Oryzias latipes: one gene and its partner. The protein of the gene in region 1 purifies or fractionates together with the protein of each later gene. This does not show direct contact. Links are inferred from orthologs where the notes say so. Each region holds a gene or a part of one and is shown in the gene's direction. Other genes may lie near its edges.

Region 1 (4,118 bases):
AAACATGATTTAGGTTTTCTTTTCCTCACCTTCCAAACAATGCACTCTTGTTTCTAAAAGCTGTCAGCTTTTGGTCTTGTAGTTTATCAAGGTACCAGCCAATCACAAAGCCCATGGGAACAAATAAATGTACCCAGTATCGGCGGGCTGCAGGATTCACCATGGCTCCCTAAAAGAATAAAACAAAAAATTATATTTACACACATTTAAAGTTGAGATGGAGGATTTGATGTCAATTAAACTGCAGTAATGACACTTATTTGGCTTTGAAATTAAGAATAAAGTAAATTTGGGCAGATTAGAAGACACAATAAAATCTAACATAACCGAGGGTGATAGCAACATGGATTTCCAATAAACAGTTTTAAAAACCCATAAAAGTATATTTTTAAATTCTATTGTCAACAAAAATTGTTGTATACATCAAATTGTTTCAAGCAACCAAAAACAAATAGGACTTGATATTTTTGGACCTCTGATGTTAAGCTGTTTATGCACCAGCTACTAGTAGATCAGGTCACGAACAACTGAAACCGTTGTTCTTTAATGTTGGTTTGCTGAAATGCAGCACTCCCAGTTGCATTCATCATTTAGTTCGTTTAAACTGTGTTTTGCTATCATTCATTCTCCTTCAAGCTACAAAAGTATGTAATCTCTGTAAAGGACGTTGAATGGCTTCCATATTTTGGAAAGAAAAAAAAAGGTTACACAAAGTAATGCTGCCTTCCTTTGACAAGTTTATCCATTTAATTTTAAGCTAACTTGACTCTTATAACACCAATAAGAACGAAAGAAGTGTTACAAACGGCAAAAAAAATAAGCCACCTCAGAGTTAAAAAAAATGGCTAAAAACAATAAATAATACTAACAAACATTGGTTAGGGATCAATTAGTTACAGTGCTGTGTAGCAGTTAGCAAATTTAGCAGCAAACATTTTATTTTGTTAGAAGAATGATTGTAATTGCTTATTTATTTACCCAAAATGTAACACAGCATTAAACAAAACAATATATTGAAAAAAACAATAATGTAATGACCATTGTAAAAAATATTACCTTATTTTTGTATCAACCAGCGGCCTTTAGCTACCGACTCGCCAAGCGAAGGACATCGGACTCTACCAATTGAGTGTCAACGACGCGGATCAGCGCGTGAAAGCCAACTTGCAAAGCTAATACATGACAAAAAGGGAAAGTTACATACTGTAGAATAATAGAATAGAATTATAATATTATACCGCATCTTTTAAAAACTACACATTTTGGCGTTGTTTTGGTGCAATTTATATTGTGGCAACACCCCTATTAGTGGTACATTCATTTGACCTGTGTCACGTGATGCTGGCGCAAAAATGTCTACCACATTAATGTTTTGTAGACAGTAGCTACTAAAGAAAATGCTTTAACTTGGGAATTGTAGTCGGTTAATTTACTTTGTTTTCTCAGGAAGGATAACTAATTCAAACCCACTTTAAATGGTATGACACACAATGAAACTGCAGTGAACAACCAGTAACGTTAACATGCTAAAAGGACTTGCCGGGTAACTAGCTAACGACCGTGCTAACTTTAGCTAACAACCACATTGTTTTGTTTTATTTATTATTTGTGTTTTTACCAAAGTCTCTTATCGGTTCCATTAATTTGTGGGATTTTAATTACGCATCTTGTGTTTAATTCCCGCCACACTAAACTTCCTTTAAATTTATAACACCTATTATATACCGTGTTTGTTGATCCTAATATTAGTTGTAATTAACGTAAACGGGTTTTTTGTACAAGCTTGTTTTAATCAAAGGTCGGTGGAAGGGCACTGTGCTAATCTTTTTTTATTTTTCACAGCGTTTATAGTGAAGAAAAATGACCTCGATTATAAAGCTGACGGCCGTGTCAGGGGTTCAGGAGGAGTCCGCCCTCTGTTATCTCCTGCAGGTGGATGAATTTCGCATCCTCTTGGACTGTGGATGGGACGAACATTTTTCAATGGACATCATTGATGCCATGAAGCGGTGAGTTTGATAGTAAATAAGAACTTTACACCCATGCATATACTTCAGAGTCTCTTGAGGGAGCTGAAGATCTTCCACCTTCCTTTGAGGCTGTTGTTGAACTTCTAAACCACCTCATCAAATCCATTCTCACCTGCTGTACCAGAGCATCTCCTCTTGGACCATTAAGCCTCAACCCCCTTTCTGGAAAAAAGTTTGAATCTGTTTGTGTTTTTTGTTTGTTTGTTTTTCTCTTAGGCTGTATTCTGGATTTTGCAGCTGACATTTCAATTTCTAGTATTGTCAAATGTTTACTGTGCCTCAAAACAGATTTGATTCTGATAATAGGTCATGCAAAATGTATATAAAGATATAAACACAGTCTGATCGTTCATTGTGATGTCGTTCGGGAAGATCTGACAGTACTTAAGCACATTTGAGCGGATAAATCCACATCACGTTGTAAACATTTGGATTGTGTATTTGGAAATAGTTCATTTTAATCAAAATCAAACTAACGAAGAGAAACAACAGAAATATAGATCTATACGTAGATATATCTAACTTAGCATAATGAGATTGTATGAGGGTGTGGTGGTGCCTGCAGCGTTATATGGGGCTGAAACATGAAGTCTGAAAGTGGTGGAAAAGAGGAAGCTGAATGTAGTTGAGATGAGATGTTTGAGGAGTATGTGTGGGGTGACACGTATGGATCGTGTGAGAAATGAAGTAATCCGAGAAAGAACTGGTGTGATGCGAGAGTTGGCTTATAGATCAGAGCAAAAGGCACTGGGATGGTTTGGACATGTTGAAAGAATGGGAAGGGAGCGATTGGTGAAAAAGGTGTACGAATCTGATGTGAGTGGAGTGAGAATGAGAGGAAGACCGCGAATGGGATGGACAGAGGGTGTAAAAAGAGCGATGAATGCAAGAGGGATGACTGTGGTGCAGGGGAGAGAGGCTGCTCAGGACAGGGATGGGTGGAGAGAGTTTGTGTATGAATGAATGGATGGGCGTGGTAGAGGTCTGGTCTTGGGATGAAGCGGCAAGGGGAAACTAGCCTTGGCTGAGGCCCTGCTGTGGAGGTGCCTACACTGGGCTGTGCAGCTGACCCTGGTGCAGTGTGGTGTGGCTTAAACCAGTCACATACCCACACACACACGTGCACACACGCACACACTGAAGGAGGAGGGTTTGTGGAAGAGAAGGAGGGCGGTAAGAATGGATACCCTGTCTAGGCTACCCCACTTTGGTGGGACACAGCCTGGGTAGATAGATAGATAGATAGATAGATAGATAGATAGATAGATAGATAGATAGATAGATAGATAGATAGATAGATAGATAGGATAATTAGTCATGAATTGATTGGAAAATATATATACATACGCATATACATCCGAATACACGTCTATAATGAAATAATTGCTACTAATCATGGACTTATTAGCTGATGATATATTTTTTTGTGAGAGGCTTTTCTGATTATGTTGATATTTCTGTTATAAACCCATTGTTGTGTAATTTTCTGCCGGCAGCTATGTTCATCAGGTTGATGCAGTTCTTCTCTCACACCCTGACCCCATTCACCTCGGAGCCCTCCCTTATGCCGTGGGCAAATTGGGCCTCAACTGTACCATCTATGCCACAATTCCTGTCTACAAGATGGGTCAGATGTTCATGTATGATCTGTATCAGGTAAAGCAGGAGAGGGACTTTTAGAATTGGCTAATGGATAAAAGATGAGGTCATTTATAGGCCTGAAATTTCTGCTTTTTTTTTGTAAATGTTTTCTGCTTTTTACCATTTAGTCTCGAAACAACAGTGAAGACTTCACACTTTTCACCCTGGATGATGTCGACAGCGCTTTTGACAAAATCCAGCAGTTAAAATACTCTCAGATTGTCAATTTGAAAGGTGAGTTTCCGTTACTTTACTGCTCTAACTTGGCCATTCTAACAATGTGTGTATTTTTAATCAATCCGTTCCCTTGGTTTTTAGGAAAAGGCCATGGTCTTTCCATCACTCCTCTTCCAGCTGGACACATGATTGGAGGAACCATCTGGAAAATTGTCAAGGATGGAGAGGAGGAGATTGTATATGCTGTGGATTTCAACCACAAGAGAGAAA
Region 2 (4,311 bases), on another chromosome or scaffold:
TTTTTTTTTGTCTGTTTCATCAATGTCAAATCTTTAATGTTTACTGAAGCTATGCTGTAAAAAGCCAGAAGAAATGCACATACAGATGTTTTGGAAATACATTTTTTACAAATAGAATTTGAGTCAACTCGAGGAACTGGCTTAGTCAGTTTGGATTTGCCAAACTTTGACTGATTCGAACTTAAACTACTCTAATTCCTGTAAGACTTTGTTAAGATACTGTGAGGACGTTCTTGTGTGTTTGTCTCAGTAGAGTTTTGTTACACACTAAATGACAACCCACAGACAGCTGACAGACTGTCCTTACTGAGGTTAGCTCGGAGGAAGCCACCCAGATGACATCCACCAGAAGGAGTATCACCACCCCTAAGGCCATCCTCCTCCGCTGGGCTGTAGAGCTTCCCTGAGAGCTCATCCGGTTCATGATGAAAACCCACTCCATTGAGACCCTATAACAGACACATGACATAGAGGGGAAAACGAATATGATATTTTTTCCCTCTTTTTATTCTACTGTATGCTTTGCTGGAGGGACAAGGCAACAATGCCACTGTACATTGCTCTAAAGGTACAATTTATAAGAATATACCATGACAGATTCATATAGACTTTTAAGACAAGGTAAAAATGAAAAAAAGTTCCTTAAGACTGGGAAACCAGTCAAAGGCCTTTCCTACAGGTTTTTCCAATGAAGACCGTGGTTAACTTAACTAACACGTTGCAGGAAATACGCTTGTAAAGCATCACTAACAACAATACTCATAAACGCGTGTTACAAGTGATGATGTGCGTGTTTTCTACTAGACCTCCGCCTCTTTAAACAAAAATTCTGTTGCATGTTCATGTGGCAATGAATGTAAAACATAAGTGGTCCCAATGAGAATCAAAACTATGAGCACGAAACCGTCTGCAATTTAAAGATGTAAAATTAACTGATTTATTACGATACGACGTTCTGTATATTAAAAACAAAATAAGCACAGTTTTTACTAGCTGTATCCAAAACAAGCTTCGCAGTGGTACGTTTTAGCTGCCTGTTTTCCAAGCTAACTAAGAGCTAGTAAAATGTCCTACAAACAAAGTAACAAAAGCAATAACAGCGGCGTGTTCACCCGAATGCGAGGCGTATTCATTCACTTTTCTTCATTAGTTGATGTCCGATTGATCTTTTACATTACTGTTTCTAAAAAACAACACGTTTTAAACGAGAATATTTTACCACTCCAGCGGTTGTAAACATAAGCACTTCCTTGTCTTGTTATTAGCATCAGGTGACATCACTTATCCCGCTAAGCCTCATGGGACTTGTAGTTAAATGGTGATCGATTAAAAACATTTGAAATGTGTCTATGGCACATATTTTGTTTCCCATGTGATGTAAACAATACTAGTGTTCTTATTAATAGTTAAAAAATAAATAAACAAAAATAGCTTAGAGGCACACAAATCCAGCAGGAGGCGCTGCTTTTATTTGAGTATCCGAAAACAGCCGAAGAAGAACCGTACCATAGCTTCTTCGATGAAATATGGCGGTAGCTTTGTTTGCTTGCTAGCAAAGTTAATTCATATATTTAATAAGTACTAAAACAAGGCAAATCTTGTTGTCTAATAGATCATATTTGTAATTACCCGTTTAATACAAGAGTTAGTGTATCTATAACGCAGTTGGCTTAGTAAAGTAGATTATTATTTTATCGTTTTGGCTAACCTAATGTTACGAGCTAACTAACTGGATTCATTCTCATCATTCTGGTAATCGTGTAGGTAAGTTAGAAAAAAATACTGACTTGCGTATTGAAATTTGTTTATTTAAGTATTATCAATTGAATATGTGTTTCTGTAATACATACGAATGTTTGTAGTCTGACTTAAAACGTTCAGTAATTTGAATTAAAATATAGATGTTATGCGTAATTCTCGTATTGTTATGTATGCTCTAAATTATTATTATTATTTCTGTTTTCCTTTCAGGATCATGCAAGATTATTACTGACTGGAACATCAGCAACATGGACATTTCTTCTAAGGCGGAGGACACTCCGAAAGGGGTCGATATGACCACCAGTGAAAAGGTCTGTACAATTAGCACAAGATGAAAGATTTGTTTACAATCTCAGGGACAACAACACAATCTGGAGGTAGCAGACTTTAAAACAGAAATATTTTAATCTGAAATTGTTCATATAAAGCATTTTAAGTCTTAAAATATACATCTAGAAACACAACAAATCATTAAATGCTTTTTGTGTGATGCAAGTTAAATCTTGATCTTGCTATCTAAACATTCTTTATTTTTTAATCTGCCATCGATTTTGTTCTGATAAATTGCAATATATAAGAAATATTTACAATTGCTGCAGTTTAATCTAAATGGGGCTGTAGTCTACATTTGCAGTTGTCTGGGGTTAATAGCTAAGAACACCTCATTTGGCTCAAACATGCTATATAGTAGAAATTATGCTAATATTTTTTGGCTGGTTAGCCTCTTATTGTAGCGTTGTAGAGACTTACTCTGGTTCTTTCTTTTCTCAGGTGGTGGAGCTTCTGAATCAAGCTTCTCTCATACCCACTGATGAAAAGCTGACTGCTCTCAAACAGGTTGGTAGTGTAAATCTGTGCAGTTTAGATGACTGCTACACAGCAGCACCGACTGAGGTGCTGATGAGGTGGTTGTAAGAATTTGAAGTCACGCGTTTGAATTTCCTTTAGGTTCAAGAGCTCATCATCAACAAGGATCCGTCCCTTCTTGACAACTTTTTGGATGTAAGTAAGCACCTGCCTTTCATGGCAAAGGAATGGTAAGCGTGTAAGTTAAAATCGGCCCAGTCATGTTCTTGTATCTTGCCAATTCTATTTTACAGGAAATAATAGCGTTTCAGACCGACAAATCAATAGAAGTGAAAAAGTTTGTCATTGGATTTATAGAGGAAGCATGGTTAGTTGTTTGTGTCAACATTTTACATCTTATACACTTTTAAATGTATGTATATTTATTGAAACTCTTTTTTTTTTATATCTATTTCCCAACTAGTAAAAGGGACAATGAGCTCCTTGTTAGACTTATCGCCAATCTAAACATGCTGCTGAAGGATGAAAGTGTAAATGTGGTGAAGAAAGCCATTCTGACACTCACTCAGCTCTATAAAGTAACATTACAGGTATGCACCTTAAAGTCACTCGCATAATTTCCTGCTAAAATAATAGGAATACGGTGTTTTTATGTTCCCACATCTTCTGTTGTTTCTTTTCTGCCAGTGGTTGGTCAGCTCAAAAACACTGTCAGAAATGCAGGAGGCATGCTGGGACTTGATCACTCAAATGAAAGGGGAAGTGTTGGCCTTGCTGGACTCCGACAATGATGGTGTTCGCACACACAGCATCAAATTCACAGAATCTTTAATCATCACTCTCTCGCCGCGGACACCTGACTCTGATGTACCCAAACGCCAGGATGCTGACATTAGCCTTGACAAAGTTCCCAAAGACCATTCGTACATTCACTACGGTAAAGATTTTAGAACTCTCTTTTTTTTTTCTTTTTTTTTTTTTTAAACAGGCATGTTAAAATCTTTCTTACTGCAGGATAGATTTATTACATTCTGTTGAATCAACAGGTACTTTGTGTGAAGAAGGAAAGAGTGCACTGGAAAAGCTCTTAAAATTCATGGTCCACCCAGCTATATCCAGCATTAACCTCACCACTGCATTGGGTTCTTTGGCAACGATTGCCCGTCAAAGACCAATGTTCATGTCAGAGGTGGTGCAAGCATATGAGACCCTCCACGGTGAGTGCTTCTTAGTCAAAAAAATATATATTATCCCCTTAACATTATTATTAAGGTGCAATCATTAATATTTATCTTTTTTTCTAGCTAACCTTCCCCCCACTCTGGCCAAATCTCAGGTTAGCAGTGTTCGAAAAAACTTAAAGCTGCACTTGGTGGCAGTTCTCAAACATCCGTGCAGTGTGGAGTTCCAGGGTCAGATCAGCACTTTGCTGCTGGATCTGGGAATGCCTCAGACTGAGATAACTCGAAACACTCCTGTACCACGAGAGCCTCGCAAGAGGCCTCGCTATGAGCAATACACAGAGGGAAAGAAGGTCAAGATTGGTGAGTAGTTCACCACAAAAATGCAGACTGCCTTAGAAAATAACATTTTTATAAAAAAAAAACAGTCTTTAAAGGACTTGTTGAAAGATTACGAGTGTTTGTTTTCTTGCCATCACTTGCAGAGGCTGTAACTTTGCTTTACTTAGTTTTTCTTTCTGCACAGGTTAGTCTCTATTGCAGCAGCATCACACCCAGAGAT

The links. Proteins that work in one complex are often made in the same cells at the same time.
Region 2: the proteins of cpsf2 (region 1) and sympk purify together in Homo sapiens (co-immunoprecipitation; 8 studies listed by BioGRID and IntAct, with this or other methods). This does not show direct contact. The link is inferred for Oryzias latipes from reciprocal best matches to the Homo sapiens genes CPSF2 and SYMPK.

What each region holds. Positions count from the first base shown.
Region 1 is NC_019882.2:5,327,406-5,331,523, forward strand, and holds the start of cpsf2 (cleavage and polyadenylation specificity factor subunit 2), read left to right. Parts: upstream 1-1,318; 5' UTR 1,319-1,478; intron 1,479-1,842; 5' UTR 1,843-1,860; coding exon 1,861-2,009; intron 2,010-3,526; coding exon 3,527-3,686; intron 3,687-3,799; coding exon 3,800-3,905; intron 3,906-3,989; coding exon 3,990-4,118. UniProt on the Homo sapiens protein: Component of the cleavage and polyadenylation specificity factor (CPSF) complex that play a key role in pre-mRNA 3'-end formation, recognizing the AAUAAA signal sequence and interacting with poly(A) polymerase and other factors to bring about cleavage and poly(A) addition.
Region 2 is NC_019879.2:16,691,404-16,695,714, reverse strand, and holds the start of sympk (symplekin), read left to right. Parts: upstream 1-1,500; 5' UTR 1,501-1,764; intron 1,765-1,971; 5' UTR 1,972-2,009; coding exon 2,010-2,072; intron 2,073-2,532; coding exon 2,533-2,598; intron 2,599-2,709; coding exon 2,710-2,763; intron 2,764-2,861; coding exon 2,862-2,935; intron 2,936-3,031; coding exon 3,032-3,158; intron 3,159-3,255; coding exon 3,256-3,505; intron 3,506-3,614; coding exon 3,615-3,785; intron 3,786-3,872; coding exon 3,873-4,112; intron 4,113-4,311. Other genes in the region: slc35f5 (solute carrier family 35 member F5), read right to left, coding at 308-449, 1,220-1,278. UniProt on the Homo sapiens protein: Scaffold protein that functions as a component of a multimolecular complex involved in histone mRNA 3'-end processing. Specific component of the tight junction (TJ) plaque, but might not be an exclusively junctional component. May have a house-keeping rule.